Oryctolagus cuniculus: one gene and its partner. The protein of the gene in region 1 interacts with the protein of each later gene in a pairwise test. Links are inferred from orthologs where the notes say so. Each region holds a gene or a part of one and is shown in the gene's direction. Other genes may lie near its edges.

Region 1 (15,461 bases):
GGCATCAAGTTAACAGGAAGCACAACTCTGAAGTTTGGGTCTTCAGAGAAAAAGGCTTCAGATTAGAAAAGAGGGTGACAGCACCAGAAAGTACCTTGTTAGCTCATTTTTTTTTTTTTTGTAAATTTTATTTCTTTATTTTCATTTGTTTTGAAAAAGCAGAGAGACAGAAATATTTTATCTGCTGGTTCACTTCCCAAATGCCTGTAACAGCCAGGAGCCTGTCGGGTAGTGGCTTAAGCTACCGCCTGCAGTGCCGGCATCCCATATGAGCACCAGTTCAAGTCCTGGCTGCTCCAGTTCTGATCCAGCTCCCTGCTAATGCACCTGGGAAAAGAGCAGAAGATGGCCCAAGTCCTTGGGTCCTTGCACCCATGTGGGAGACCCTCATGAAACTTCTGGCTTCAGCCCGGCCCAGCCCTCCTGACCATTGCAGCCATTTGGGGAGTGAACCAGGAGATGGAATCTCTCTCTCTTTCTCTCTCTCTGCCTCTGACTCTCTGTAACTCTGCCTGTCAAATAAAAAAATAAATCTTAAAAAAATGGTCATTTTAATTGTTAGGCCAAGAACCCACTCTGAGGAACTTTTAGCTCTTCTGTTCCTGGTAGAGCTTCCAGGTGACTGTAGCCAACTGAGTGTGGCCAGCAGAGGAAATGGAAGAACCCCAATCAAACTCACAGAATACTGAGAAATCATACATCCTTTAAAGATTTACTTATTTAGGGACTGGCACTGTGGCATAGCAGGTAAAGCCACTGTCTGCAGTGCTGGCATCCCATATGGGTGCCGGTTGGAGTCCTACCTGCTCCACTTCTGATCCAGCTCTCTGCTATGGCCTGGAAAAGCATTGGAAGATGGCCCAAGTCCTTGGGTCCTTGCACCTGCGTGGAAGGCCCCGAAGAAGCTCTGGCTTTTGGTTTCTGATCAGCACAGCTCTAGCCATTGTGGCTGTTTGGGGAGTGAACCAATATCTCTGTCTCTCTGCCTCTGCCCTTCTGTAACTCTGCCTTTTAAATAAATAAATAAATCTTTAAAAAAGTTTTTTTTTTAAATCGTCTTTTTAAAAATATTTATTTATTGGCCGGTGCCGCGGCTCACTAGGCTAATCCTCCGCCTAGTGGCGCCGGCACACCGGGTTCTAGTCCCGGTCAGGGCGCCGGATTCTGTCCCGGTTGCCCCTCTTCCAGGCCAGCTCTCTGCTGTGGCCAGGGAGTGCAGTGGAGGATGGCCCAAGTGCTTGGGCCCTGCACCCCATGGGAGACCAGGAGAAGCACCTGGCTCCTGCCATTGGATCAGCGCGGTGCGCAGGTCGCAGCGCACCGACCGCGGCGGCCATTGGAGGGTGAACCAACAGCAAAAAGGAAGACCTTTCTCTCTGTCTCTCTCTCACTGTCCACTCTGCCTGTCAAAAATAAAAAAACAAATTTATTTATTTAAAAGGCTTAATGAGAGAGAGAGAGAGAGAGAGAGAGATCTTCCATCTGCTGATTCATTCCTCAAATGGCTGTAATAGCTAGGACTGGCCAGGCTGAAGCCAGGAACCAAAAACTCCATCTGGGTCTCCAATGTGGATGGCAGGGATCCAATCCAATCCCTGGGTCATCGTCTGTTGCCTTCTCAGGGACATTAGGAGAAAGCTGGATCATAAGTGGAGCAGTGAGGCCAGTGTCGTGGTGCAGGGGGTTAAGCCACTCCCTGTGATGTGACATGGGCATCCCATATCTGAGTACCATTTCCAGTCCCAGCTGCTCCACTTCCAATCCAGCTCTCTGTTAATGCATCTGGGGAAGCAGAGGAAGGTGGCCCAAATGCTTGGGGCCCTACACCCACATGGGAGACCTGGCTCCTGGCTCCTGGCTTCTGCCTGGCCCAGCACTGGCCATTGCAGCCATCTGGGGAGGGGGGGTGAACCACCAGATGGAGGAGCTCCCTTTCTCTTGTTGTCTCTGCCTCTCTTTCTGTAACACTTTCAAATAAATAAATCAATCTTTAAAAAAAAAAAAAAAAAAGGCGGCAGAAGGGAGCATCTGGATGGAAAGTGGAGCAGCCAGGACTCAAACCTGCACCCATCTGTGATGCCAATGTCTCAGTTTTTTTTTTTTTTTTCTAACACAAGTTATTTATTGTTTACTATGTAGATTGTTGGTCTTTCCTGAAAGGATACTTGTATCTTCCCAGCAAAAATTTTACATTGTTCACTACTGTATCCCAGCACCAAGAAGGTACCTGGGACTTGGGAATAGTTTAATAAATATTTGTTGGCAGATGTATGAATAAAACCAATTATCAACCTTAGAGCTGCTGTTGTGAATATTAAGGTTTTGTTGATTTATTTTTGAGAGAGAGAGAGAGAAATCTTCCATCCATTGGTTTATTCTAAATGCTTCACAAATAGCCAAGGGTGGGGCCAGACCAAAGCCAGGAGCCAGAAACTGCACCTGGATCTCCCACATGGTTGGTAAGAACTCAGAACTTGTATCATCTGCTGCCTTCCCAAGCCCATTAGCAGGAAGCTAGATTGAAAGCAGAGAAGCCAATCCTTGAACTGGCATTCTGATTTTATATATATATAGCACCAGTGTCTCATGAAGTGACTTAACCCATTGTACCATAACATCCACTCCTGTAGTGAATATTAAAAGAGGTAACTCAATTACCTGGCTTATAGTAGAACTCTATAAATTTAGGTGTTTTCCTTCCTCTTTTCCTCTCCCTCACTTCCTCCTACACAATCCTTCAGCAAGTCAGCTTGACCACAGCTTAAAAACATAACATGGGGGCAGGCGTTGTGGCACAGTGGGTTAAGCTGCCACTCGGATGCTTGCAGCCCATACTGGAGTGCCTGGTTCTAGTCCCAGCCACTCTATTCTTCCTATTCAGCCTCCTGCTAATGTACCTGTGAAGCAGATGATGGCCTAAGCACTTGAGTTCCTGCCACCCATGTAGGAGACCCACATAGAGTTCCTGGTTTACCCCTGGCTGTTGCGGGCATTTGGAGAGTGACCCAGCAGATGGAAGATCTGTCTCTTCTCTCTGTGTCACTCTGCCTTTCAAATAAATAAATGAATGCATCTTTTGTGAAAAACCCTGGCTTTTCTGTTCATTCATCACCACCACTGTAGTCAAACCACCTTTGTAGCTCACCTGGACTTCACCACTCCACCTACCAATCTATTAGCTGATCTCCTGGCCCCCCACTCCTAATCCTTTCTCCACATTCCGAGAGATCTTATACAAAAACAATTCCAAATCATCTCACGACTCAGTTTAAATATCTTCTGGTGCTTCAAATTAGCTCAGACCTTTTTCATTTAAAATTTTAAAAAGATTTCTTTATTTGAAAGGCAGGATTATGGGGAGAGAGACAGAGAGAGCAAGAGGGATCTTCCATCCACTGGTTCATTCCCCAAATGGCTTCAACAGCTGGGACTGGGTAAAGCTGGAGCCCAGATCCTAGAATGCCATCCAGGCCTCCGAAAGGCAGGGAGCCAAGGACTAGAGGCATCTTCCGCTGCTTTCCCAGGCTCAATGGCAGGGAGTTGGATTCACAGTAGAGCAGCGGGGACTGGGTGCCATTGCTGTGGAAGGCGGCTTAACCCGCTGCACCAAAATGTTGGCCTCAGCTCAGACTTCTTAGTGGCGGGGCCTCTGTCTTCCTCTTCAGAGTTAATCTGGGTGCCAACGTCGCGGCTCAATAGGCTAATCCTCCGCCTTGCAGCGCCGGCACACAGGGTTCTAGTCCCAGTCCAGGCACCAGATTCTGTCCCGGTTGCCCCTCTTCCAGGCTGGCTCTCTGCTGTGGCCGGGAAGTGCAGTGGAGGATGGCCCAAGTGCTTGGGCCCTGCACCCCATGGGAGACCAGGAGAAGCACCTGGCTCCTGCCTTCTGATCAGCGCAGTGCGCCGGTCGCAGAGCGCCAGCCACGGCGGCCATTGGAAGGTAAACCAACGGCAAAAGGAAGACCTTTCTCTCTGTCTCTCTCTCACTGTCCACTCTGCCTGTCAAAAGAAAGAAAGAAAGAAAGAAAGAAAGAAAGAAAGAAAGAAAGAAAGAAAGAAAGAAAGAGAGAGAAAGAAAGAAAGAGTTTATCTGGGGACTGGCGCTGTGGCATAGCCGGTAAAGCTGCTGCCTGAAGTGCTGGTTCGAGATCTGGCTGTTCCTCTTCTGCTCCAGCTCTCTGCTGTGGCCTGGCAAAGCAGAAGATGGCTCAAGTCCTTGTGCCCTTGCAATCGGGTGGGAGACCCAGAAGAAGCTCCTGGCTCCTGGCTTCGGATCAGCGCAGCTCTGGCCCTTTAGGGAGTACTCTAAATAAGTAAATCTTAAAAAAAAAAAAAAAAAAAAAAAAAAAAAAAAAAGAGTTCATCTGGTTTAGGCTAACTGGCTGTCCCGCTGGTTCCTGGAATTAACAGAATTAATTTTCATTTTAGCACTTTTTAGCATTCTTGATTCCTGCTTGAGAATCTCTGGCTAGTCGGCTCCTCATTGTTATTCAGATTTGTTTAAATGGGGCTTCCTCTGAGACTATCACTGATCTAAAGTGATCACTCCTTTTTCATACCCACTTTTCCTTATGTTTATTTCTCCCCCAGTATATTTTTTTAAGATTTATTTATATATCTGAAAGATTTACAGAGGGAGAAACGAGAGAGCGAGATCTCCCATCCATTGGTTCGCTTTCCAGATGGCCACAACGGCCGGAGCTGGGCCAGGCCAAAGTAAGGAGCCAGCAGCTTCCTGCGGGTCTCCCCTGTGGGCGGTAGAGGCCCAAAAACTTGGGCCATCTTCGGCTACTTTTCCAGACCATCAGCAGGGAGCTGGAATGGAAGTGGAGCAGCCGGGACCCACACGGGATGCCAGCGTTGCAGGCGGCGGCTTAACCCTCACGCCGCAATGCCGGCCCCGGACCGCCCAGATTTTAAATTTCTTGAAAACAGAGACTCTACCTGTCATTTCCCTTGCTTTAACCCTCAAGTTGGAGCAATGTCGTGTATGCTCAAAACATATTTGCTGAATAAATGAATTATGATGACGACGATGACGAAGCCTCAGACCAACTGGTCACAAGTTATAGTAATTTTCTCAAGAAATGCAGTTCCGAAGTTAGATCCTGGAAGACTGGAGACCAGGTAACAAACGCCACACGCCTCAGGGTGGTGGATGGAAGACATCGAAACTCTGGCTTCTTCCCTCCTATGCAAAAGTAGGCCTAGAATCGCTTGACCAGAAACTGCAGTTGCACCACAACTGGCATTTTCTTCGCAGCCACTTCAGCCTGGCAGCAAACGCGCAAACACCTCTAGGACCCCGGGTTCCTTTCTGTTTCTTTATGAATGAACCGGCTCCAGTGCGCGCATGCGCATCTCGCCGTTCTCCCGTTCCACGTGAGGCCCACCCTTCCCTCCTGCTGGAGACCCCGCCCTCATCCATTCTAACAGACCAATGACAAGCGGCCTTGGGGGCGGAGCCGGCGCGGCCAGGCACTGTAGTTCCCCCGGCGCCCGGCTCCCTCGCGCTAGTCGTGCTGTGTTGTGATCACGTGGCCGGCTCCGGGCGCGGCGCTTGTTTTGGTTTCCTCCAGCTTGCCCTGCAAGCCTCGAGGTTAGCTGCTTTCTTGCACCGGTTGCCGCACCTGCAAACGCCCTGGTCTCGGGTTCCTCGGGCTCCGCCCGTGCTACCCGAAGCCCTCTCGGGGCGGGCTTCTGCCATGCCGCTGCTCCGCTACAGAAAGGTGGTCATCCTCGGATACCGCTCCGTAGGTGAGTCTCCGCCCTGCGGGAGCACGGCCGCACCCCGCGTGGTGGCCGGCGGAGGCGCGCTGCCGCACCGGGAGAGCAGAGACAAGGACTGAAAGGGTGGAGGAAGAAAGGCTGGCGGTGTGTGCGGGGCTGCAGGCAGCCGGAGCACGCAAGGGTTAATGTGGGCTTGGCTGCAGGGAGAGCAGCAGGGTCTCCGGCGATACTCTGGGAATAAGGGTTGGGGTCGATTGAAGACGGTGGCGGGGCGGGAGGCGGGAGGGCGCGGTCTGCTTGGGGCAAATAGTCGCAGGTGCCCTGGGGCGGGGAAGACTTGATCCTTGGGGAACCTGGATCTTCTGGGGGGTGGGGGTGGGGGGGCGGAAAGGCCGCCTGTGGTGCTCTTGAATGCAGCCTGTAGTGCCCAGACTGGTGTGGGCGATGAGAAGAATCGCTGCTTGAGACACTCAGACCGGCCCCCGCTCCTTTGAAAGAACAAGAGGGTGTGACTGTGGCTGGATGATGTGGATACAGCTATCTTTGCTCCCCACAGGGAAGACATCCTTGGCACATCAATTTGTGGAAGGCGAGTTCTTGGAAGGTTACGACCCCACAGTGGAGAACAGTGAGTCAATTTCTACCCTGATGTGGCTGGGTTGGAACTAGTTGGGCTTAGCTGTTCCATCCAGCGTTATAATTTGGGATTTCTCTGGTGTCAAGGAGTGGATTTGTTCAGACATTGCTTCTAGCAGTCTTGTTTTATGATTGGCTAGCATGTGGATTTTGCAAGATAACCTCGTACACGAAAGTAGGGATATAGACAATAAAAACCTTGCATGTGTTTCCCGTTTCCTGGAGAGCTCCCTGGAGCTGGTCCGTCTGTGTCACTTTCACCTTCAGGGTTAAGGATGCATGGGGGCATACATCTCTAGCCCTGCAAGATGTCTCACAGTCAAGTTTTCTTTTCTTTTCAGCTTACAGCAAGATAGTGACTCTTGGCAAAGATGAGTTTCACCTACACCTGGTGGATACAGCAGGGCAGGTACCAGTTGGGGTAGGGTTTCCATATGTAGCAGCTCAGCCCTAGGTGAGTCTGCTAACCTCTGGTGCATGTGTAAAGTAGCATCAAAAGAAAAACATGTAAGCCACTAACAATGTGCTAGGCTCAGTGCAGCTGCTCCAAACATACTTGTTGAGTAGAGGTGACTAGAGTAGGGAATGCCCCAGGGAGGGTTAAGTGGATGCTGTCCCACCAACCTTTGCCATCTGAGAGGTGTGGATCTAAGGTGCTGATGTTTCTTTCTCGGTAGGATGAGTACAGCATTCTGCCCTATTCATTCATCATTGGCGTCCATGGTTATGTGCTCGTCTATTCTATCACCTCCCTGCATAGGTGAGTGACCAAGGTTGTGGAACTTGGGTGGATCTTACAGTTGTCCCAGAACTGAGGTTATAGCTCCATTTCTTGTATTTAAAGCTTCCAAGTCGTTGAAAGTCTCTACCAAAAGCTACATGAAGGCCATGGGAAAACCCGGTAAGTGGCCCTGAGGGTGGGCAAGGAGCAGAAGGAAGAACTGTGTAAGTTAGAGAGGAGGCTGGGACACAGATCCTGTGGCAGCCTGGTGGGGAGCTGTCTACCTTGACTTCAGGGAGGCTGGGGTCCACATCGATCAGGAAGAGAACCTTGCAGTAATTGCTGTTTCCTTACAGGTTGCCAGTGGTACTAGTGGGGAACAAGGCGGATCTCTCTCCAGACAGGTGTGAGTCCTTGCTACCCAGGGTGGACAGCAGTGAGCTGGAATGGAGCTCAGCAGAGCTGTAGCCACAGACCCAAAGAAATCGTTTCACCTCTTTGCTTTGCTAACTTAAAGGTTAACAGGATATAGCCCTTGAAACGCAAAAGCAGGTCCCTATTTCAAACCTAAGTCCATGGTTCACCCATGCTTACTTTGTTTACCTGCATGTTCTTCCTTCCTCAACCCTCATCCCAAACCGTGGGTACATGGGACAGGTTAGAGGAGGAGGGCTAGAGAGCACTTGGGGGTCATTGCCATCTTCCCTCCATGCTGACTTTCCACACTTGTTCGCAGAGAGGTGCAGGCAGTTGAAGGGAAGAGGCTGGCAGAGTCCTGGGGTGCGACATTTATGGAGTCATCTGCTAGAGAGAATCAGGTGCTGGTCCTGATGATTAGAAAGGTGTTGGGTGGTGCTCTTCTTAGAGCATTGCTGGGGGTGGGAGGGTGGGGTGTTTGCCTCTGAACTAGGTGGTCTTGATTTTGGACTCACTCAGTTTTTTTGCCTTGCATCTATATCCCTTATAGCTGGCTCAAAGCATCTTCACCAGAATCATCCAGGAGATCGCCCGGGTGGAGAATTCCTACGGGCCGGAGCGGCGCTGCCTCCTCATGTGAGCCCTGAAGCACAGGATGATGGCTTCAGGTCTGCCCCTGGCATTTGCCAGGCTCCAGTGGTCCAGGGCAGGGCCAGCAGGCCCTCAAAGACTTCACGGGTACTGTTGCCACCGCGCAGTGTGGCACCCTTCATGTGTATACACTTTCCCTGGGCTCCAGCAGCCTGGGCGTCACTGTTTACAGTGGGGCAAAGATGTGGGTGGGCACTGGCCTCTGGCCCCTGTTTTTTGCTGTATGAATTCTGTTCTAACCAGCAGGGCTGGGATGTGGGAGTCCTGGTCCCTGTTTATCCAGGTCCATTCCATCCTGTGTTGGTTGGGTGAGCTAAGCTGGAGGCACAGGAAGCAGAGCTGGCTCCCTGGGATGACAATGTACATATGCAAATAAACTAAGAACTCTTTTGTTGTTGACTTCTCTGAATCTGGGGAGAGTGCCGAGCCAATGGCTCCTCTTCCAAGCAGTGATGGCTGTGACCTATGGGGAGGTAGGGGGAAGCGTTCCTACCCCCATTGCTTCCTTTCTTTTAAGCACAGTTACCCTGAAACTTAACTACTTACCTTCCCTACCTTTCCATTCTGCTGGGTTCTCTGTCCCCTCGGCCGCCACTCCCACCAGTTTGTAGGCACTGGAGATCCCCTTCCCTACAGAAACACCACCCCCTAGTGGCCAGATGCCACTTGCTGACCCAGCCATCCTGGTGGGGCCTTGGCATTTGCTAGGACCAGAGGGAAGGGTTTGGGAGGAACGAAGTCCCCCATGCCTGAGTTTGTGGCAGTGGAGGAGACTAGAGGCAGGCATTAAAAGTGTTGTGAAGATCTGGATTCCCAAGAGTTGAGTAAAGGAAGAAATAATGTCCCTGGTGTATATCCCTGGTGTGTATCTCCCTGCTGCCCCCTTTCCCACTGCCTTCCATTAAAATGGACTTTGCTCCTCTCATACGTTTGGTAATCTTTTGGTAGCTTTTACACCATTGGAGTTGCCCCATCTTTTGGTAACAGGTTACTGCTTCTGCCTTTTCTTACCTCTACCACCTCAGGAGCAGGATGAGAAGTTCAGCCAGGAAGGTTTGGTCCTGTTTGCCTCTAGTTTACCCGACCCTTCCTCTTCCAAGGACTTCTAAGGGTTCTCTAAATGGTGCATTTTTACAGGGAAGACACGGACCTCTCTTGCCAACTGTGAGAAGCGTTCCTACCCCCATTGCTCTGTCCGGGCACTTACTTGGGGAGACAGGACAGAAGCTATGTGGGATTTTTTTTTTTTTCTTTTTTGCTGAGACCCAGCTCTGGCTTCTGGTTGGAGCTGGTGGTTTGTCATGTTGGTTTTCAAAGGTCCTGCCAGCTGCTTTGGCTTCTGATTCAGAATATGAAAAGAAAGGAGATGTTCGAAGAAACATAAAGAATCGTCTCAGTTGCCTATAAGGTTCTCCAGGGTTGTCACCAACTTCTCACATTAAAATCATGTCCATTTGCATCTCTGGCCTGGTGTACTTGTTACAGGGACCCACCCACCCACTGCCGCTTCGAACTCTAGCGTAAATTTACAAACATCTGAAGTTTTCTAATAAGCCATCTCCAGGCATGAAGACAGTAAAGAAAAATGGCTCATAGCTGGTTGATGGCATCTCCACCTAGATGTGTGAACTTGGGCATTCGCTTAACCTCTCTGAGTCTGTTTCTCATTTATGAAGGATGCTTCATAAATCTGCTTCATAAATCTGAAGTGACAAACACTTACATATTGTGATATGTAATGCCAAGCACAATTCTTTATATATAAAACATCAGAAACAGTGGCCGACAACTCCTGAAGGCCTTTCCGACGGTGACCTGGTTCTCCTTGCCTCTAGGCACATGAGAGTAGGGAGGGGGTACCTTCCATTTTCCAACATCTGTCTCTTGGTCAATTTAATCTACCGCAGCTGAGACAGGGGCAGAGTCACTGCTGGAGTTGGTTGCTGACCTAGGTGCTCAGCAGAGAACACGGTACTGGTGTGTAACAGGGGGCATGCCGGGTCCCTATCCTTCCTCTAAACCTGGCCGGTAGGGAGTAAGGTTTCCCGTCCAGGAGGAAACCACAAACTACATATGGCTAGTTATGCTTAACTTGGTTAAAATGAAAAGTTACCCATCTTCAAGGTGCTCGATGGTGGCAAATGGGTACTACATCAGACAGCGTCAGAGTGCAGCAAACCCTTTCTCACAAAACCAGCTCTGGACCCACACTGCCTGCTTCCTTCTCCACCATCTTCCTAGGAAAAACACGGCCCTTGGTTTGAATCACGGCCCATCTCTTCATCAGTGATAGGCAGCTCAAGCCATGTAACTCTTAAGAGAACATCTAAAGAGTATAGAAAGTATCTAACACATAGGTAATTTGTCTCCTAGCTGCCCCACGTGTAAAGTTCAGTCTTCCCAATCCTCTCACCTAAAGTTAAGGAGGCTGGGGGTGGGGGGGGGTGGGGGGAGGGCAGGGTGCCTGCCTGCAAGGAGTGTGTTTTGGGACCTTGTCTAGAGCGACAGCGCGCTGGCCAGGTATCAGCAGCGAGCCGACCTTCGTTTATTGAAAAGGGACTGGAGATGGGGGTGGGGGCACCGTGCAAAGGTTAGGGGAGCTCTCCATGTATGCTCTGGTGGGTCTATGTGTGTGTGCCCGCGGGCTGTGCGGGCATTCACAGCCCTTTCCCCACGAGGGGCTCTGGGAGCCGGAAGGAAAAGAGCCAGCATCGTCCGGTTTTCCTCGGGGCCCCTCCGGAACGTGGCAAGAACCCACGCCAAGCGCCGTGCCTCACTTTCTCCATTTGCGGACTCCAGTTCCCAGGATTCCGAGCAGCGGCCAATCTCCTGGCTCTCTCCTTCCATCCCCCTCCTCCCGGGAAATACTGCCCCTGGCCAAGGCAAGGGGGACAGTTCAAAAAGAGTTGCAAGGGCCAACGACTGCCAAAGGGACGGCATCAGAAGGCGGCCCGGGGTCCCGGGGCTCACAGACCGGGAGGCACAGGCGGCAGGTCCCGGCCCCGGCGCGGAGGAGGGGGCTCGGTTCCCACGTGTCCGCGCCGCCGCCGCCACCGCCGCCGCCGCCGCCGCCCGGCACCGCCGGGGTTAACCCGCGGCGGAAGGATCCGCGGCGTGTGCGTAGAACTGCAAAGTCACAGCCCTTCCTCCGCGAGGGCCGAGTCCCTCCGCCGCCCCGCTCCAACACAAAATAGGGCCGCCTCTCCTCCTTTCTCCCCCCCGTCTTGAGTGGGGTTCTCCGGGCAAGAGGCCCTCCCGGATTTCGCACCGGAGGCTTCGCGAATCTCCACGACCGCCGCCCAGGTCTCGGGCCAGGAAATAAGCCCCTTCGGAGGAACCACCCTACCGGCCGAGCAGGAGGCGGAGGGGGTGGGGGGGAGGCGGAGCGGCGCCGCGCTGCACTACTTTCCTCTCCGGTTGCAAATGGCTGCCTCGTTCCCCACTTTCCGCTCAGTTTCCTGACCCCCCGGCGCCGGGAGCCGGGGTTGGGCCATGCACCTCTAGGCCCCCCGCGACCACAGCCAGCCGGGGGTCGAGGGGGTGCCGCTGACCGGAGCCGGCCAGGCCGGGGGCGGGGCAGCTCCCGAGGCCAGAGGGGAAGGGAGGCGAGCGCTGGGCCTGGAGCGGCCGGCGGGGAGCGGGCAGAGGGCTCGTACCGCCCGCCCCTTCCTCTTTCTCGCCCACCTACCCTCCTCCTCCCTTCCCGGGGTGGGGGGGCCGGGGAGCAGAAGGTGGGGGGCTCGAGGCCGCCGAGGGCGAGCGCTCGGGGTCGAGGAGCCCGGCCGCTGGGTGTGTGTCAGGCTCAGCCCCGCGGCCCCGCCGGCTCCGCGTCGCCGCCGTAGCTCGCGCGGCCCCGGGGCGCCGGCCCGGGGCGGGGGAAGAAGGGCTCGGCGCTGCGGCCGGGGGGCGCTGCGGCCGGGGGGCTCCGCTTTGCTCCGGCCCGGGCGCGCGCGGCGGCGCGGCGCTCCTTCCGGGCTGCGGGGAGGCGCCTCGGCGTTCCATCTGGAGAGCCCCGGCGTTCCGCGCGAGCCCGGCGCGGGCGGCCGGGGCGCTGGCCGGGCCCCGGGACTGAGAGGCCGCCCGGCGGCGCGGATGCACAGCCTGCTTGCCCAAGATCAAAGCCACCGGTGCTCTCTTTGTGTCCGCTCGGGATTCGTCGCCCTGGGGCTGTCCATGGAAACCTAAACTGCTGGAACCCGAAGCAGAGAGCCTCCCCCCCCCCACCCCTTCAGCTGCTTGCTTTTTTTTCGTGGGGAGGGTGGCCACTCCGACCTGGATTTACCGTTCTTGGCCCCCGTGAGCCCCCCCGTGCGGGGGGCGGCTGTGATCGCTCTGGCGGTTGGAGGTCGGGGAGCGGCCCGGGCTCTGGCCATGTTCTCGGATGAGGATTTCTGGATCGCCCTGTGAAGAGGTGAGTGGAGTCTGCCCGCCCGCCAGGGCCCAGGAAAGGTTGAACTTGGGGGCACGGCCAGATGGACTCTCTTTGGCCAGAGCTGGCTTTGGGTCGGGGGAGGGGGTGGGTACCAGGCCTGGGGAGGGCTCCCTTGGCAGGCAGGGTCTGTCAAGGGAAGCCGAGCCCGGTAAGCCGGGACAGAGCTGAGGCCTGGTGTTGTGGGGTGTGCCTCTTTAAAGACGGGGGGCTCGGGGAGCCACGGGAGTTTGGGAACGTGTCCAGGGAGCCTGTCTGCCTGTTTATTTTTGTGTTGGGGGGAGTCCGGCTAAACTAGGACCCAGGCCTTGATGCCAGGAGCCAGTCCCGGGCTGCTGCCTCGCCTCCTCTCGGGGTTCCTTGTGGGTTTTGGGATGGAACAACTCGGAGTTGGGAGTGGGGGTGCCGCTGCCGGGTCAGGCTGACTTCCAGGGTGGACCCTAACGTTGCTCCTGCTTGCCCCGGTGCCCAACAGCAGTGTCTGGGAGGCTCAAGGAACCCTAACTCCTCAACAGGCCTCCCTTCTGTGGGTGAAGGGGAGGCTGTGTGGAAAGTGGCCAGTGTGATCCAGGGGCTGGTTGGGGCTGCTGCGGCCCCCGCTGTTCCACTTTAAATTACCCCTGCCCAGCAAAGTGACCCCAGCAAGGCCTAGTGCTGTCTTAGCCTGCTTCACCTCCCCTCCTCTTGGGATGGACATAATCTCCTGGGGATTATAGAGGAGGCCGTTGAGATTTGCTCCCTGCGAATGTGGGCTGCAAAAAAAAAAAAAAAAAGAAAGAAAAAGAAAAAGAAAAAAGAAAAAAAATGGCTTTTGTCTCCTGCTTTCTCTGGGGCCTGATGTGGAGAGCTGGCTGCCCAGGAGTCCCTTGGCCTGTGCTACAGGCCCCTCCCAGACCCCTTCAACCCTTTTCTAAGCAGGGACTGTTGACTAGGCCCCTAGGCCTCTCTCAGCCTTGCAGAGGTAGGGTGGCCTCTACCTCTTAGGAGGAGAAGCCAGCGGTTTCCAGCCCTGGCAGGAGGGGTTGGGGAGAAGGGGTGTGTGTATGCACACAGGAAAGGTGCAGCACGAGCCTCCTGCTTCTGGGCTCCGGGCTGAGATAGCCCCTCTCACACCTGTCATGCTGCCCAGCGGGGATTCGGCTGTGCATTTTGCTCCCTCCCTGCACCCTCTCCAACATACATGTGCTAGCTCTCTTTGAGTCTGGTCTTGGAAAGGCAGAAGTGGGGGGTTTTGCCCTTGGGAGGTGTGAGAGGTGGCACAGGGGTGGTAGAGATAGGTGAGCTGTCAGCCCTGTTCCCTGCTCCTAACCTTCCCTGGAGGATGCCTTCTGCTGTCTCCAGATAACTCCCATGGGTGAGGCTGCTCCCTGGGAAGCTGTGGCTGCCCCTGGACAGAGCCAGGGACATTCAGAGGGTCTGCAGCGCCAGTGTTGCTTCCTGGAGGGCTGACTCAAAATGGGGGTGGGGCGAGGTGTGGTTTGATCCTCAGACTGGGAACCAGGAAGTCCTGAGTCCTGCTGAAGAGCTGTTCACTCAAGGGCCTGCTTCTGCCGTGGACCTCTCCAAGTCTCTATTTCCCCCTGGGCTGGGAGAATGAGGACGAGCTGCTGGTCTGGGAGGAGGCAGAGGAGTGAGGTAGATGGAGAGTAATCCCTGCCGACCTCTTGCTGTTGGGGGCCTTTTAGGTAGGACTGAGGAGTGTCAGCACCATATTCCACTCTGGCGAGGCACTAGCCCAGTTTAGATCCAGGGAAAGACCCTCGTGGGGTGTGTGTTGTGTGTTTACTGGCTTTGAATAATGGGGCTTAAGGGGGGGCCTGTGGTCTTTTTTTTTTTTTTTTTTTTTTTTTTTTTTTTTTTGCTGAGTTATGTTCAGGGGCCTGATCATTGGGCCTTGGCATTAGGGTACAGGTGGTAGACTGGAGGTGCGCCTCCCTAGATTCTTTTTGGGACAGCCGACAGGATCCTCTGATTCTCGGTGGCTGCCTAAGTGGGATGGAGGTGGCTTCTGTACCTTCTTGGGCAGTGCCAACCTTACCAGGCGAGAGGGCTGTACTTGGGGGAGTGTGGGGGAACCTGCCCCTCTGGCCTTGTGTGAGGCAGTCCTCCTACCCACTGTACTATTGCTGTCGCTTCTTTATTTCTTGCTGCCTGTGGCTCCTTCGGCCTTGGCTTCGAGAGTAGAGCTGGTGGAGAAACTCTGCGGCAGGTGGTGGTGGTAAGATACCGGAAAGTGCAAACATCCAGAAACTGGGACCTCTTTGGACCTTTGGGGTGTGGCTGGGCCTTGAACAACTGCATAGGAAAGGGGGCCTGGCTCCTGTCCCGAGCTCCCTCGTGGAGCTCCTGCTTCCCTCGGGTTGCTTCTGGGTGCTCCTTGAAGTTCCAGAGCGGCTTTGCTGTGCGCTGGCCCAGGACCCACCCTTGCTTTCAGGTGTGGTTGTGTGGCAGGTTTGGGGATGGAGGTGGCAGGTGGCAGGTGATCTTGGCTTTCCCTGTCCAGTAGATGATGAGTGTTAGCAGGGGGGAAAAGTGGGAGAATTTCCCAGCCTACGACGTGTTGGTTCAGTGGGTGTTGCTGATAGGTGGAAATGCAGTATGAACTCGAGGGAGGAGGGCTGATTTTGTGGTTCTTGGGGGTCGTTTGCCAGTCTTGGGCACCTGGGAGGGTTCCCCCTATGCCTTTTTTAAGTGTACGTGCTGCTGAAATGAGCACTGCCCCCGTTGCACCCCAGGCAGCTCCTGTTTGGGAGGAGTGGGTTATGGTCATTCTGGGTAGAGGAGAAGGTAGGAGATCAGGCTCTGGAGTGCGCTCACCACTTATAGTCTTCTTAGGGACCGCCCCCATCAGCGCCTTCTCAGTCACCTCGAGCTCCC
Region 2 (14,616 bases), on another chromosome or scaffold:
ATGGGATGTGATGTCACTGCCCACCAAGCTGTAGCCCTGGCCCCAAGTGCTTCATTTTAATGGGGAGGTGGATTGTGTGGCTCCTAGAAGGGCTACCGTGGTGTTAACAAGACTGGGCTCCCGAGCTCTTGGGGGTGTTGAAACCTGGTTATCACTTAGTGATTCTGGGGGAGCAGTTGAGTTTCTGGCCCCCACCTGGGAGACCTGTGTTGGGTTCCCAGCTCCTCCCTGTAGCCCAGGCCTTTACAGGTACTTGGGGGATCCCTCCCCCTCTCAGAAAAAGAAACAAGGTGGTGAGCGGTAGGCCCTGGTGAGAGGTCCTTGGCTCCTGGTCGCTGCCCTTGGAAGGTGGTTCTTGCAAGAGGGTTGTTGGGAAAGCCTCAGTCAGGCCCAGCCCTTCTGCTCCTTGCCCGATCCACCGCTGCAGTGCAGTGGCCTGACCAGAGGCCAGACCAGTGGACCTGCCTGAGCTTGAACTGGACCCCCAAGACTGAGCCATGATAAACTCCTTCCTTGATAAGTAGCTTTTCTCAGAAGAAAAACAGACTGAAGTGTTAGAACAGACATTTACTGTTGTTGTGATTGAGAGAATCAACATTAAACCAGTGGGGTATGGGCAGGCATGAAGTTGCTGCGTGGAGCACTGGCACCTCACGTCGGGGTTTCCGGGGCTGAGTCCTGGCTGTGCCCCCAGTGCCAGCTTCCTGCTAGTGCAGAGCTGGGGGCAGCCGGTGGAGGCTGCAGTGGCTGAGTCCCTGCCGCTCCTGGGGAGACCTGTGTTGAGTTTCTTCCTCTTGGGTTTTGCCTGGCCCAGTCCTGCTGTTGGAGTTGTTTGGGGGAGTGAACCATCAGATTTCTCACTCTCTGTGTTGTTTCTCTGCCTTTTAAAACACAAATTAGCAAGAACCCAACCTGATAGACTGAAGTTATGGAGTACAAATAAGTGAGATTTGTGCATTTCAAAGTGTTTCAAAAGTTCATGGAAATTAAGTAATGTTGGTGCAAATTTGAAATCCATGCATCATTTTTTTATAATGCTCATTTTGCATGAACTTTTTGAAGGCCTCCTGTACAATTCAGCAACCAGCGGAAGTTACTGCAAAAGTATTAGGTGAAATGTTATTTTAGATACAGACTTTTATGACTAGATACATACAGGCTTACACAAATAGATACATTTAAAGTACCAGGAGTAGGTGAAAAAGAGACATTGCAAAGGTTAGAGGAAGATGCATTCAAGCAGTGTGGCCCTTCGTGGTTGGGTGGTGATCGGTGTGGTGTCCAGGTGGGAGTGAGATGTGGAACCCTTGTGTGGAAAGCGGTCTGTAGGTCTGCGGGCCCTCCAGTCACTCAAGCAAGGGGGCTTTTATGCTGTGAGAACTTCACAGTGGGCAGCAGCACGCTGCGCAGTGAGGGGGAGGGGCTCCGCAGCTCCGTGCCGGCCGAAGCCGTCAGGTGGCTGCTTGGAAGGGGTTTTCCCCCAGAACTTCACTGTTGGCTGGCGTAAAAGCACGGGTGTGGCAGCCTGGGGAACGGGAGGCACTGCCCACTGTAGAACACTTGATTTTACTTGACTGTCCTGTAAAAGCTTGTTTACAGTTACAGTACTGGGTGGTACAAAGCAGTGGTTTTTTCCATTTCTCTGTTTTCAGAAATGGAGAAAAATTGTGGACACCTACCTTCATTTCAGTTCTATGTAAAACATACCTAGGAGTTGTAGTGAAATGTTTGGGAGGACTGGCCCTGTCAGCTGTGTTCAGCCCATGTAGGAGGCAGGCGCCAGGGTCTAGCGAACCGCCCGGCAGGCTGCAGCCTGGAGCTCCAGAGCAGAGGTTGAGGTGCTGCTGGCCGGCAGGCCTGCCCGCGCCGGGTGTGCACGCTTCGGGGTGGTTCCTTTCTTGCTGGGGAGTGTCCACTTCCTGCCCTGGTGTTGAGGTTGATTTGTTCCTGAGAGGAGGAACGTGGCGGGGGCAAGAGGCGCAGAATCACCACACAGACGCCGGGAGGCGGGTGAAAGTGGGCCAGAGGTGAGCAGCCCGCAGGCTCGTTTATTTCCGTTGCTACAGCAGCTTATATAGGCAAGGCAGCCAACCCAGTCAAGGGGTGGTCTGTGCCCCAACCAATCACAGCCTGTTGCCAGGCAGGCTCCGTTGCCAGGTGGGTTTCAAAGCCATTCGTGAGTAACTGACGCTGGCTTGCCAGTGGCCATCTTGGCATGGCCTTCTCATTCCACCACATTTCCCCCTTTTTGTTTATTTTTGAGCAACAGGAGGCATGACTCTTGGCCATACCATTGTTGACCCCGTTTCCATGTGGTCTCCATACGCAGCTGTGCCTGTCTTAGGTTGTCTCCCAGGGGATCTTACCCATTGTTGACTAACCAGCACTCAAATCCAGAGACCACAAGAGTGCTTGCTCAGATGGGGGTAGGAATGAGGAACAATGTTTATCTGGAATGGCATGAGCACACACAGGCTGTGGGCCATTTGAGTGGTTGGCCAGAGCTAGTGGGGTATAAAACAGTAACAGATGTGGCTATGGGCAGTTCCTCAGGGTAGGATGATAGGGCAGGTGCGTCCGCTAACAAGGCAGATTCTTAGTCTTGTTCAGCTGGTTCTGGTTGGCTGTCAGTTGCAGGCTTGATGTTTCTGGGTGGTACCCAAATGGGCTGTCCCGCATCCTCTGGAAAGACAAGCATATCCTCGGCCCTTGGTTACCAGAAGCCTTTCTAAGGGCATTGGAATCCAGGGCCTGAATTCTGTGTCCACTCCTACATTTACGGCAAACATGCAGGTGGGATGGGGTCTAGCGGCTGCCCTGAGAGCCTCGGGTGCCTGAGTACTGCCACAAATGTGGGAACCCTCACTGGGTGCGGATGGGATGACCTCGCATGGGTTATTGTCTCTAGGTCCTCTAAGTCATCCCACGGGTATTTGGGGGGTGGCTGACTTGGCGTTGCTACATTGTTTGTTACCTTGTTTGCTACATTGTCATTTTCACTGTCCTGGCTCTCCCTAAGTCATCAACTGTTTCCTGTAAGACAGGGACCTGGAGTGACAGGCTCTTATCACTCACAGATTCACTGTGTTTGGTAATCTGCGTGCGCTTCTGAGAGGGGGGTATCTTTCCCATGTTTGAGCACTTAAGAGCAGTGCGCCACACCAACTCTAGCCAAAGGAAAGACACGCACAGCACTGCTGCCATAACAAAGCAAATTCCTAGCACCTCAGCGGCTGACGGCATTGTGCAGGGGTTCCCTACGTTAGATGACCAGACAGTGCTGTGTGTCAGATCGTAAGTATGTCCTGTGCTTAGTGGGGGACTTCCTTGATTCGTTAGGTCAAGGCCATAGGCCCACACGGTGTCTCCGGAGCATCACCTGTCTAAAGTGAGGGAAGATGACTTGGTTCCGAATTCTGGGATGATCAGTCCCTTATGTGAATTCACCAGGTGAACCGAAAGTAAGAGGAGCTGAGAAGCGGCGTACGCTTCTGGGCAGTGTGTGCTTAACCTGGGGTCACTTAGACCGAGGACAAGGACAAGGAAAGGGGTGTAGGAGGGGTTCTGTGCTCACCCTCACAGAACCGAACAGCACACAAAACACCGAGGGGCCCACTTGCCGAAATCAAGGGGGGACCTCGCCGAGTCCGACACGCTGTCTCTCTCAGTCATGTTGGCGCACCAGATGTTGCAGTTGATTTCTTCTGAGAGGAGGAGTGTGGTGGGGGCAAGAGGCGCGGAGTCACCACACAGACCCTGGGAGTTGGGTGAAAGGGGCCAGAGGCTGGCAGCCTGCAGACTCGTTTATTTCAGTTGCTACAGCAGCTTATATAGCCAAGGCAGCCAATCCGGTCAAGGGGCAGTTTATGCTCTAACCAATCACAGCTTGTTGCCAGGCAGGCTCCGTTTGCCATGTGGTTTCCAAAGTCATCCAATCACAGCCTGTTGCCAGGCAGGCTCCATTGCCATGTGGGTTTCAGAGCCATTCTGACACTTGCTTGCCTGCGGCCATCTTGGCATGGCCTTCTCATTCTACCACCCGGGCATGGCCCCTGAGTGGGCATGGACTGAACTGGCTCGTAGGGCAGGATGATGGTCCTCTCCAAAATCATTCTCAGTGACAATGTGTTTCTTGAGTTTGAACACATTCAATGTTAAAAAGCTCTTCATGTAACACATACTTACCTAGCAGCACACGTGTGTACGAGACATGTCTGTGGACATGGCAGACATTCCTACCTCTGGGAGGCCCAAAGCCATGCTCAGTCTACACGGGAAGCGAGAGAGGAGTGGGTGCTGTGCTGTCGCTCGGTGGTGGCGGATCTTCCTCTGGGTGGTCTACAAGGTTCTTACTGAAAAGGGAGAGCCTGCTTCTAAAGGTTGTATAAAATGAGGATTTGCGTCTTGAAAATTACATGGGATCATCGAGTTAGGTATTTGGATGTCATCATTTACAAAATAGATACTAAACCACTCTGAAGAAGATGGGCTCCTTGTGTCATTTCCCGCTTTAAGCCGGGAGGTTGGCGATGCTGAGAAGCAACTGACTGAAGGACCACGTTGACTCTGGGGGCCTCTGAGCTTTCAGTGGGGTGTTGGAGAACACATGGAGTCCAGATATTCCCAGGAGTAGAGAGGAGTGTGTAATGAGCCCTCTGTTCCTGTCCTCGGCTGCAGTGGTTATTAATACGTTGCCATTCTCATGTTGTCTAGCCCTGATTATGCTGCAGCATTTAAAGCAAATCCCAGTTACCACATTATCCCATCTGTAAGTTAGAGTTGGATGTTAGAGTGACTTTGGAAAGAAATGTGGGTGGGTGCCTGTCTCCCATGGCTGCCAGAAAACGTCACAGGCCGGGTCTGCTCACAGTGTGGAGACCTGACATCCAGAGTCAGGGGCAGGGGTGTGCTCCCAGGACCTGGGAGAGAGCCTCCTCCACGGGGTGGAACCCACCCTGTCCTCCTTGGCCCCACAGCTTGTGCGCAGCACTTGGTGATGGGGGCCCACCTGCTGTTCCTGGAGAAGTCACACGCTCGGCATTGAGGTTGGACCTTATATGTAGCAGTGTGGACACAGCCCTGCTCAACACACGGAAGTGGTGTAAGCTTTCCGGAGGGTGTTGGCAGTATTTGTTTGAGCCTTACAGATGTCATATTCCATGGTCCAGAGGTTCTCTTGGGAATTCATCCTTAGGAAATGATGGAGTGTGTAAACAGTATAAGGGTACAGTTCACAGGTAGCATTAGTGTTAATGGAACATTTGATTGAGTCATGAAAAATCAGAAACAAAGTAACAGGATAGTAACAACATGGCCACTGGTGAAATAAGATGTAGAAGCTTGTGTTTCTGGAAGATGGGTAATTTGTTAAGGGAATGATCACAATGAAAGCAGGATACGTAATCTTGTAGTCTGACAACTGTATGATCACATTTCATAGAAACAGTACACATAGAATCTTTAAATTTTCTAGTTGATTTAAAAAAAAAGATTTATTTATTTGAAAGAGAGAGATCTTCCATCCACTGGTCCACTCCCCAGTTTTCCACAACGGCCAGGGGCTGGACCAAGCCAAAGCCAGGAGCTTCTTCCAGGTCTCCCACGTGGGTGCAGGGTCCCAAGCACTTGGGCCATCTGCTGCTGCTTTCCCAGCCATTAGCAGGGAGCTGGATCAGGAGTGGAGCAGCCAGGACTCGAACTGATGCCCATTTGGGATGCCGGTGTTGCTGGTGGTGGCTTTACCAGCTACACCACAGCACTGTCCCATAGAATTTTTTTTAACATGCCCTGAAAGTGGGGGGAAATGTGGCAAAAGAATTAGAGAAAAGAGGTAGAAGAGAAATGTAACAGAGGAATTAGACCAGTTACCTGCGGGTATTGAGGCTGGAGGTGATTTTACTTTCTTTATATTTTTCTGTTTTCTCTAAATATATTCTCTGATGAACTTGCAGTTAAAGAAAAAAATCACGGAAAATGTGTACAGTATCACCTGGGGTCCTGTTGGTACTGGCAGATGTTCAGTCCGGGACGGCTGGAAGGTCGTGGACGGCTGAGGTCTGCACACGTGTGGTTTAAAGCAGTGGCTCAGCATGCAAGCCCAGTTGTGGCAGCTCAGTGGGCTTTCGGGATCTCCCGTGAGTGCCACACTGTGAAGGCACTGTGAGAGACGCCAGAGTGAATCGTCAGAAGCCAGCTCCTCACGGTGTTGTGTGGTTTCCTTGTGTGCTAGCTTACTGGGCAGGAAGTGCTGGAGAATTCATTTGAAAATTGTCCAGTTATGACACAGAGTCTTGTTTTTTTAATGTGCTTTAACATAATGAGAGCCAAATGGATCTGTAATTTTAGTTTTTCTTAATTTCTTTTTCTCGTAGGTTAAAAATTTTGCGGTTATTTATCTTGTGGACATCACAGAAGTGCCCGACTTCAACAAGATGTACGAGCTGTACGACCCGTGCACGGTCATGTTTTTCTTCAGGTATGTCTGACCTCACGCACGGGTGGTCTGAGCTTGGCCGTGATCAGCAGTCCTGCAGGAGCAAGCCAGTTATGTGGTCACGTGGCCAGGGGATCCCTGTGAGTCTTCAGTAATTGTCAAAGTACAGTTCCAGTTTCCGTGTTTACTCAGTAACAAGTTCCCCTCTTGAAGTAAAGTGGCCAGGAAGGCCAGCAGGGTGCCATTGAAATAGAGAAGTTACTCTCACTGCCGGCGTCACTCACCAGTTACCACGTCAGCACCTTTGTTTAGTGTCCTTATCAGTTGGCTTTGCTTAAAGCATGTTTTCTCCGCTCTGAGTTCTGTTGAGTTATTTGGAAACAGCTTGGCCAGCAGCAGTGAGAGCACCGGCCACACTCTGGGATGGGCGCCTCCCAAGGGGAGCAGAGCCGGGGTGTGTGCTCTGTGCCCGCAGGCCTGCTGGTGAGGCTTTGGGCAGGGTCAGCTGCAGGACTCGGTCGCACGAGGCAGAACCGCGGCTGGGCTGCTCTCCGCTGTGGCTCATCCGGCTCCTTGTGCTCGTGGGTCTGCGGTCGCTGTGCCCTGCTTGGCTGGGAAGGCGCTGGCCGGTCGAGTCACTCTCACAGTCTCAGTTGGACCTGAAGCCCTGCTCTGGGCACTGGAGTGGCTCAGGTGGTCCAGCGCAGTCTGTGTGTCACATCAGCTAAGACTGGGAGCCCGCCTGGCCTCTCCAGTGCTCACAGGCGTGGGGTCTCAGTGTGCGCCCACCAGGAGTGTGCTGCCTGCAGGCGCCTCTGCCGCAGCCTCACGTCCCTCGGGCCGGCTGAGGCTCTGCAGACACCACTGCACCTGTGCGGCCCTGAGAGACCGAGAGGGAAGGGAGTCCACTGCCCCACATCCTGGATGGGCCCAGGAAACAGAACTGGGAGGGAGGCGCCGATCCACGGCCCGGCAGACTGGTGCCTGTACCCAAGTTTCCCTGCCTCATGAGCCGTGTCTGCCTCTGGGTCCTTTGTTCCTGGTTCCTGCGGTAGCCCTCTCGGCCGTCCCCAGTGTTAGAGTCGGGATGCCCCACGAGCAGGGAGGGGTTCCTGGCTCACCCCTTTCGCTTGTGACTGGGGTCTGCCACCCTTGGTCTTGCCTGGTTTCAGCGTATTTGCCATCTGCAGAGTCTGAGGGTTTATTTTCCTTTTTAAAATATTTATGTATTTGTTGGAAAGGCAGATGATAAAAGAGGAGAGATCTTTCATCCACTGGTTTATTCTCCAAGCCAGGCTGAAGCCAGGAGCCAGGAACTCCATCTGGGTCTCCCATGCAGGTGCAGAGGCCCAGGCGCTTGGCCATCCTCTGTGCAGCACAGCCCAGATCCAGAGGGGAGTGAGCTCAGTGTGCCCCCCTGCATGTGTGAGGGATGACTGACGTGGAGCAGGCAAGAGGGGGTGGGAGACAGGTGTCCAAATCCCAGCGAGCGTGGGAAGGCTGTCCTGGACGTGACCGTGTGAAGCGGAGCGGGGCATCAGATGTGCCCATGGCTCACCCTGTCGAAAGGAGGCCACACGGGAGCCGTCCCCTGAGGCCAGACCTGTGATCCTATAGGAGTCACTGAACGTCTCGCCTTGGCAAACCCGGGAAGACTCAAATAAAACAAAGGGCCTATGAGAGCACAAACTCAGGGAGGAGGTCTGGCTCCTGGGAGGTGCAGTGTGTGAAGATCTTTCACTTCCTTGATCACAGAAATGCAAAATGTCATTTTAATTTCACAGGTCTGGGTCTTTGGGTAGAGTTTATGCTAAGCGTCTCTCAGAGCACTGTGGAACCTTCCGGTGCTTCTCCAGGTGGACCAGTGTGGCCCTCGTGTGTCCTGACCTTTAGTTGCCCTGGAGGGTATTTGATAGCCCAGGAAAAACAGCACCGAGCGAGCTGTGTTGTGCAGCAGAGTCTGTGTCCTGGAAGGGTGTGAGCAAGCGGTAGGAGCAGGGGAGAGTGGGCGGGTCTCCGTGCAGGTTCTCAGATCCTGATGGGAGTCACTAGGAGCAGGGGAGTGGGCGGGTCTCCGTGCAGGTTCTCAGATCCTGATGGGAGTCACTAGGAGCAGGGGGAGTGGGCGGGTCTCCGTGCAGGTTCTCAGATCCTGATGGGAGTCACTAGGAGCAGGGGGAGTGGGCGGGTCTCCGTGCAGGTTCTGAGATCCTGATGGGAGTCGCTAGGAGCAGGGGGAGTGGGCGGGTCTCCGTGCAGGTTCTCAGATCCTGATGGGAGTCACTAGGAGCAGGGGAGTGGGCGGGTCTCCGTGCAGGTTCAGAGATCCTGATGGGAGTCGCTAGGAGCAGGGGGAGTGGGCGGGTCTCCGTGCAGGTTCTGAGATGCTGATGGGAGTCACTAGGAGCAGGGGGAGTGGGCGGGTCTCCATGCAGGTTTTCTGAGATCCTGATGGGAGTCACTAGGAGCAGGGGAGTGGGCGGGTCTCCATGCAGGTTCTGGGATCCTGATGGGAGTCACTAGGAGCAGGGGAGTGGGCGGGTCTCCGTGCAGGTTCTGGGATCCTGATGGGAGTCACTAGGAGCGGGGGAGTGGGCGGGTCTCCGTGCAGGTTCTCAGATCCTGATGGGAGTCACTAGGAGCGGGGGAGTGGGCGGGTCTCCATGCAGGTTCTGGGATCCTGATGGGAGTCACTAGGAGCAGGGGAGTGGGCGGGTCTCCGTGCAGGTTCTGGGATCCTGATGGGAGTCACTAGGAGCAGGGGAGTGGGCGGGTCTCCGTGCAGGTTCTGGGATCCTGATGGGAGTCACTAGGAGCAGGGGAGTGGGCGGGTCTCCGTGCAGGTTCTGAGATCCTGATGGGAGTCACTAGGAGCAGGGGAGTGGGCGGGTCTCCGTGCAGGTTCTGGGATGCTGATGGGAGTCACTAGGAGCAGGGGAGTGGGCGGGTCTCCGTGCAGGTTTTCTGAGATCCTGATGGGAGTCACTAGGAGCGGGGGAGTGGGCGGGTCTCCGTGCAGGTCTGGGATCCTGATGGGATCGATGCCTTCCTCCCCAGGAACAAGCACATCATGATTGACTTGGGCACCGGCAACAACAACAAGATCAACTGGGCCATGGAGGACAAGCAGGAGATGGTAGACATCACCGAGACCGTGTACCGCGGTGCCCGCAAGGGCCGCGGCCTGGTTGTGTCTCCCAAGGACTACTCCACCAAGTACCGGTACTGAGCCTCGGCGAAGCCATGGGGCCGTCCCCGCGCGGGGATGGTGCAGAGCGCCTCAGGCCTTGGGAAACAGCCGCGCCCGAGGCCTGGAGCTCTTTGCAGCGCCCAGCCGGCCGTCCTGCTCCGCGTGCTTAGCCGTCTGCGGAAGGCGCTGTTGTGTCCAGCTGTGGAGGCAGGAAGCCCACGGGGCAGCCTGGGCTCTGTCTGAGGCCGTGGCACAGGGTCTTCTGCCTGGCTCCTGGTGCCTCCTCCTGCGCGCCTCCGTAAGGACACAGCCACGATGGACGGCGGCCCACCTGCCCCAGCTGCCCCAGCACGAGCTCCCGCCACTGACTGCGTCTGGGCTGACCTGTTGCTGGGTGGGGCTGCAGTGTGCGGTCCTGAGGCTCGTCCAGAATGCTGCTCTCCCCACAGGGGCTGGCAGCGCTGTCGTCACGGCCTCAGGCACACTGTGTCCTGTCCGCATGGTGAAGTCCCTTTCAGGGCAGGCCTTCGGCCCAGCGGGCTAAGGCAGCACCCGCAGCACTCGAGCCCTGGCTACGCTGCATCTGGTCAGCTTCCTGCTAGTGCCCTTGGGAAGGCAGTGGATGGCTCAGGTGTTGGGGCCCCTGCCACCATGTGGAGGCTCAGACGGAGTCCCTGGTTCCTGGCGTCAATCTGGCGCTGCCCCAGCTGGTGTGGGCATTTGAGGAGTGAACCAGCGGACAGGAGATCCCCATTTCTATCCCTCCCTCCCTCTCTGCCTTTCACATAAATAAATAAATAAATCTTAAAAAAAAATGGAAAAGGTGTCTTTCCTGCAGCCTGTTTCTCTTCCACGGTGTGCGTTCACGCTGTGACATGAGAGGGCGTGCGCACCCTGGTGCCCTGCGGCCTCTGTCTGGCTTCAGACCCAGGCTCTTCTAACTGGGCAGTTGCCTTGGCTGCTCTCCGTACACACGTGTTAACACAGGAAGCAGTGCCTGTTGGTAAGTAGTACCTTGTAAACGTGTTCACACCTGTGAGGCTGTGCTTGTGGGTACATATGTAGTGCTGTTGTTAGGGTGAGGTGGTTAAAACAAGGAATGCTTAATGGGAAATTTTGTACATACAAATGTGCAAGCCTGTGGTTTACTCTCATCCATTTTTCTGTACAATGAGGAGTATAGGCCCTTGCATGGTGTCACAGCCACCAGAGTGAGGGGTGCTGGGAACATGGAGGAATCGGGGCCTTGCTGCCCTGCTGGGGGTGCTGTAGGATGGTCAGACAGGGCCTCAGACCTGGTGCTGCCTCTGGACCCTAGGTGGGAGCCCAGAGAACTGAGCACCTGAGTCCACACAGCTGTGCTGAAGAGACTGTCCACCGGCGGTTTAACCGTGCTGTTGGATGTTACCAATTGGACGAACCCTGAGACCACCCCGCTGTGGGAAGATGCAGAGCCTGTGAGTTCAGGGTTGCCCAAGCTGGAAGAGATGGGTGGGTGTCTGAGGTGGGTGGTGGGTGCATGGCTGTGTGGGGACCGCTGAACTGTCCATGGGAGGTTCCCAGGGGGTGTGGGTCACATGTTAGTGTGGCTTCCATGTCTAAGTTTCTTGTAGACATGTCACTGGGTGAGCACCATGGATGGGCATTGTAAGTAACAGGGTTCTTCCCAGTTCTGGGGTCTGGAAGTGCCAGGCCGAGGTTCCAGCTAGTGAGGTGTCTGGTGAGGGTGTGGGCGCCTCTGCACAGCCCCACAGGAGCGAGGGACTCTCCGGGCCCATTGTCCTATGAGCTCAGGGCCCCAACCCACAACCACATTGAGCCTTAGTCACCTCTGCAGAGCCCCTCCCCCCCAAAAGTAGGTTGGGCTGTGCATGGATGCTCCGCCCAGGGCTCAGACGTGAGCCACATCTTCACATGCTACCTTGCCTTTTGCTTGAAAGCAAGCAAATTGCAAGTCAATTCCACAAATCCTTCAACGCCTACCAGGTAGATGCTTAGCAGAGACAGAGACTAAAGCTTAGATTGCCCCAAGTTTAAGTAGCAGCAGAGGATGTGCACTTGAACGCTGACCTGATGGCTGCCCTCGCCTCGTCTGCTCCCCGTTGCTTCGGGGCTCTGGGAAGGAGCTGGCGGGGCTGTAAGCCTGGGTTCCAGACGGTAGGAACTCGGGTCCTGGAGACAGGCATGCACACACAAGGAGGTGGGCACGAGCGTGTGTTGCAGCATTGTTTGGAAACAAGTAGTCAAATAGAAAATAGATTAATTCAAACGACTGCTGCTCGGTGGTGAGTGAGTGAGAGCCACAGCTGTGGACAGGTGAACTAGGGGAACAGATGTGAAACCACGTGTCCACAGGGGGCTGCGTTTTTCTGACTGCACCAGTGGAGCCCTTCGCTACCATCCACACACACCTTAAGGAGCCATACCCAGGGCCAAGATGCACTCTCTGGGTTTCTTATCAAAATGTAGGTGCAAATTTGGAAAGAAAAATAGAATGAGTACATGAGGACTTGCCTCTTGAGGGCCAGTGCTGTGGCATGGTGGGCTAAGCCTCTGCCTTCAGTGCTGGCATTCCATATGGGTGGCAGTTTGTGTCTCGGCTGCTCCTCTTCCGATCCAGCTCTCTGCTGTGGCCTGGGAAAGCAGCAGAAGATGGCCCAAGTCCTTGCCCCCTGCACCCACGAGGGAGACCCGGAAGAAGCTCCTGGCTCCTGGCTTCAGATTGGTGCAGCTCCGGCCGTTGCGGCCATTTGGGGAGTGAACCAGCAGATGGAAGGCCTCCCTCTCTCTGTAACTTTACCTCTCTAATAAATAAGTAAATAAATTCTTTATTTAAAAAAAAAAAAAAAACTTTTACATGACTTTTATTAACAGCTTTGAGAATGCTTCTCCCCCTGGCATTCTTTTTTCTAAGTTTTTATGGTGTATCAGTCCCCACAAGAAGATCACGTGATCACTGTAGATCCACTGCAGAATCTACTCTGCTGTTCCCCAATCTTCAGCTCACTTTTTTTTTTTTTTCCCCAAAGATTTATTTGAAAAAAATCACAGAAAAAGAGATCTTCCATCTGCTGGGTCACTCCCCCGATGGCCTGGCCAGGGCAAGGCTGAAGCCAGGAACTCCAGCTGGGTCTCCCACGTAGGTCACGGGCCCGCTGCTTTTCCACGCATGGAGCTGGATCAGAAGTGCATCAGGACACAAACCAGCACTCACAGGGGACACTGGTGCTGGGGCTTGACCCACTATGCCACAGTGCTGGCTCCTCCAGCTCACTTTTTAAAGAAATATGAAAGGCAGACTGACAGATCTTCCACCTGCTGGTTCACTCTCCAAATGGCTGCAACTGCTGCGGCTCCATCCAGGTCTCCCACCTGAGTGGCAGAGGCCCAAGAACTTGGGCCATCAGCTGCTGCCTTTCCAGGTGCGTTAGCAAGGAGCTGGATTGCAAGTGGAGCAGCCGGGACTGGATCCCGGCACTGCAGGTGGCGGCTCACCTGCTGTGCCACAGCACGGCCCCTCCAGTTCACTCTGCCAGCACCTGTGGCCTTGACAGCCTCCTGGGCCTCCCTCCTGTTCTTGCTCCTTGCTGTTTCCTTGGAGTCTTCCCACATAGGCCATGCAAGTCTGTGTTGGATTCATTTGTCTTTGCATAACCCTTGGAGTCGTAAATCATGCCAAAGCCACTTGTCTTGCCACAACCGAGATAAGTTCTGAATCCAGATACAGAGGTGATATCGGTGTGGGCTTGTGCATTGGCTCCGTTTCCACAGTTTCTGTCTTGCGCACTGTTGCTGTCCCAGGGTGGAGGACATGGGTGGCTGTTTCCTTGGAAGTCATTAGCTGGCCATGAACTTCCTGTGTCACTCATGATGGCGGTCATGACCCTGGACTTCTTTTGTGGCACTTTTATGATTATCATCAAAAGTGAAGAACATGAACAGTTTCCTGATGCGGCTCCCCTTGGACAGTCAGCAGGAGTACTGTGAAGGCTTCCGACTGTCTTCCACAGCCACTGTGTTGGCTCCTGTCTTCTCTTTGGCCACAGCTTCAACGTCTCCCACAAGCAAGAGGCATGTGAACGAGAGCAGAGCGTTTTTGAAACCCTGAAAATCATTCACAGATTCCCAACAGCAGATAGAATGCCATGAGACCAGAGAACTCGTCTGACCCGCCCACAACACAGGGAGCTGGTCCCAAGGAATGATTCAGACGTGGGCGGAGCTGCAGGGGGCGGGCGCTGAGGAAGGATTTTATTCTGAAAGGTCTTCTGGGCCAGGCGCAGAAGGGGGTTTGGAGGGACTGAAAGATCAGGGGGAGCTCAGAGTCTGGGAGTGTGTCCGTGTTAACTGTGGCCGCGCTTGCACACGGAGTGTGTCCGTGTTGATCCGTGGCCACGCTTGCACACGGAGTGTGTCTGTGTTTATCCGTGGCTGTGCTTGCACACGGAGTGTGTCCGTGTTTGCATGTTGAGTGGTGTGCAGTGCTCTGACACAGGAAGTCAGGTGTGTGTTTAGTTAAACTGGAGAACTGGCAACCTCTGGGAGCTGTGCTCACCTTACTACTAGGATTTGTGTTTCCGTAGTTTCATGGCCTTGTGCTAAATGAGGCTTAAATCACAGGTATATGAATTTAGCATTTGACATTGAATTAACTTTTTACTTAAGTAGATTACCAATAAACTGCTTAAACTTTGTAATAATCTACTCTAAGGCTGTATAACTTTTTTTTAGTATTTATTAATTAATTTGAAAGTTAGAGTTACACAGAGAGAGGAGAGAGAGGTCTTCTATCCGCTGGTTCACTCCCCAACTGGCTGCAATGGCCAGAGCTGAGCCGATCTGAAGCCAGGAGCCGGGAGTTTTTTTCCGGGTCTCCCACCCGGGTGCAGGGACTCAAGGACTTGGGTCATCTTCCACTGCTTTCCCAGGCCACAGCAAAGAGCTGGATTGGAAGTGGAGCACCCGGGAATTTGAACCCACACCCATATGGGAT

What was found.
Region 2: the proteins of RHEBL1 (region 1) and TXNL4A interact in a two-hybrid assay, tested with the Homo sapiens proteins (2 studies listed by BioGRID and IntAct). The link is inferred for Oryctolagus cuniculus from reciprocal best matches to the Homo sapiens genes RHEBL1 and TXNL4A.

What each region holds. Positions count from the first base shown.
Region 1 is NC_091442.1:52,520,188-52,535,648, reverse strand, and holds RHEBL1 (GTPase RhebL1), read left to right. Parts: upstream 1-5,456; 5' UTR 5,457-5,705; coding exon 5,706-5,757; intron 5,758-6,286; coding exon 6,287-6,358; intron 6,359-6,707; coding exon 6,708-6,775; intron 6,776-7,043; coding exon 7,044-7,126; intron 7,127-7,210; coding exon 7,211-7,267; intron 7,268-7,443; coding exon 7,444-7,491; intron 7,492-7,823; coding exon 7,824-7,905; intron 7,906-8,054; coding exon 8,055-8,144; coding exon of another isoform or gene 8,145-8,151; 3' UTR 8,152-8,545; downstream 8,546-15,461.
Region 2 is NC_091441.1:290,401-305,016, forward strand, and holds the end of TXNL4A (thioredoxin-like protein 4A), read left to right. Parts: intron 1-6,371; coding exon 6,372-6,475; intron 6,476-9,487; exon of another isoform or gene 9,488-9,490; coding exon 9,491-9,662; 3' UTR 9,663-10,438; downstream 10,439-14,616. UniProt on the Homo sapiens protein: Plays a role in pre-mRNA splicing as component of the U5 snRNP and U4/U6-U5 tri-snRNP complexes that are involved in spliceosome assembly, and as component of the precatalytic spliceosome (spliceosome B complex).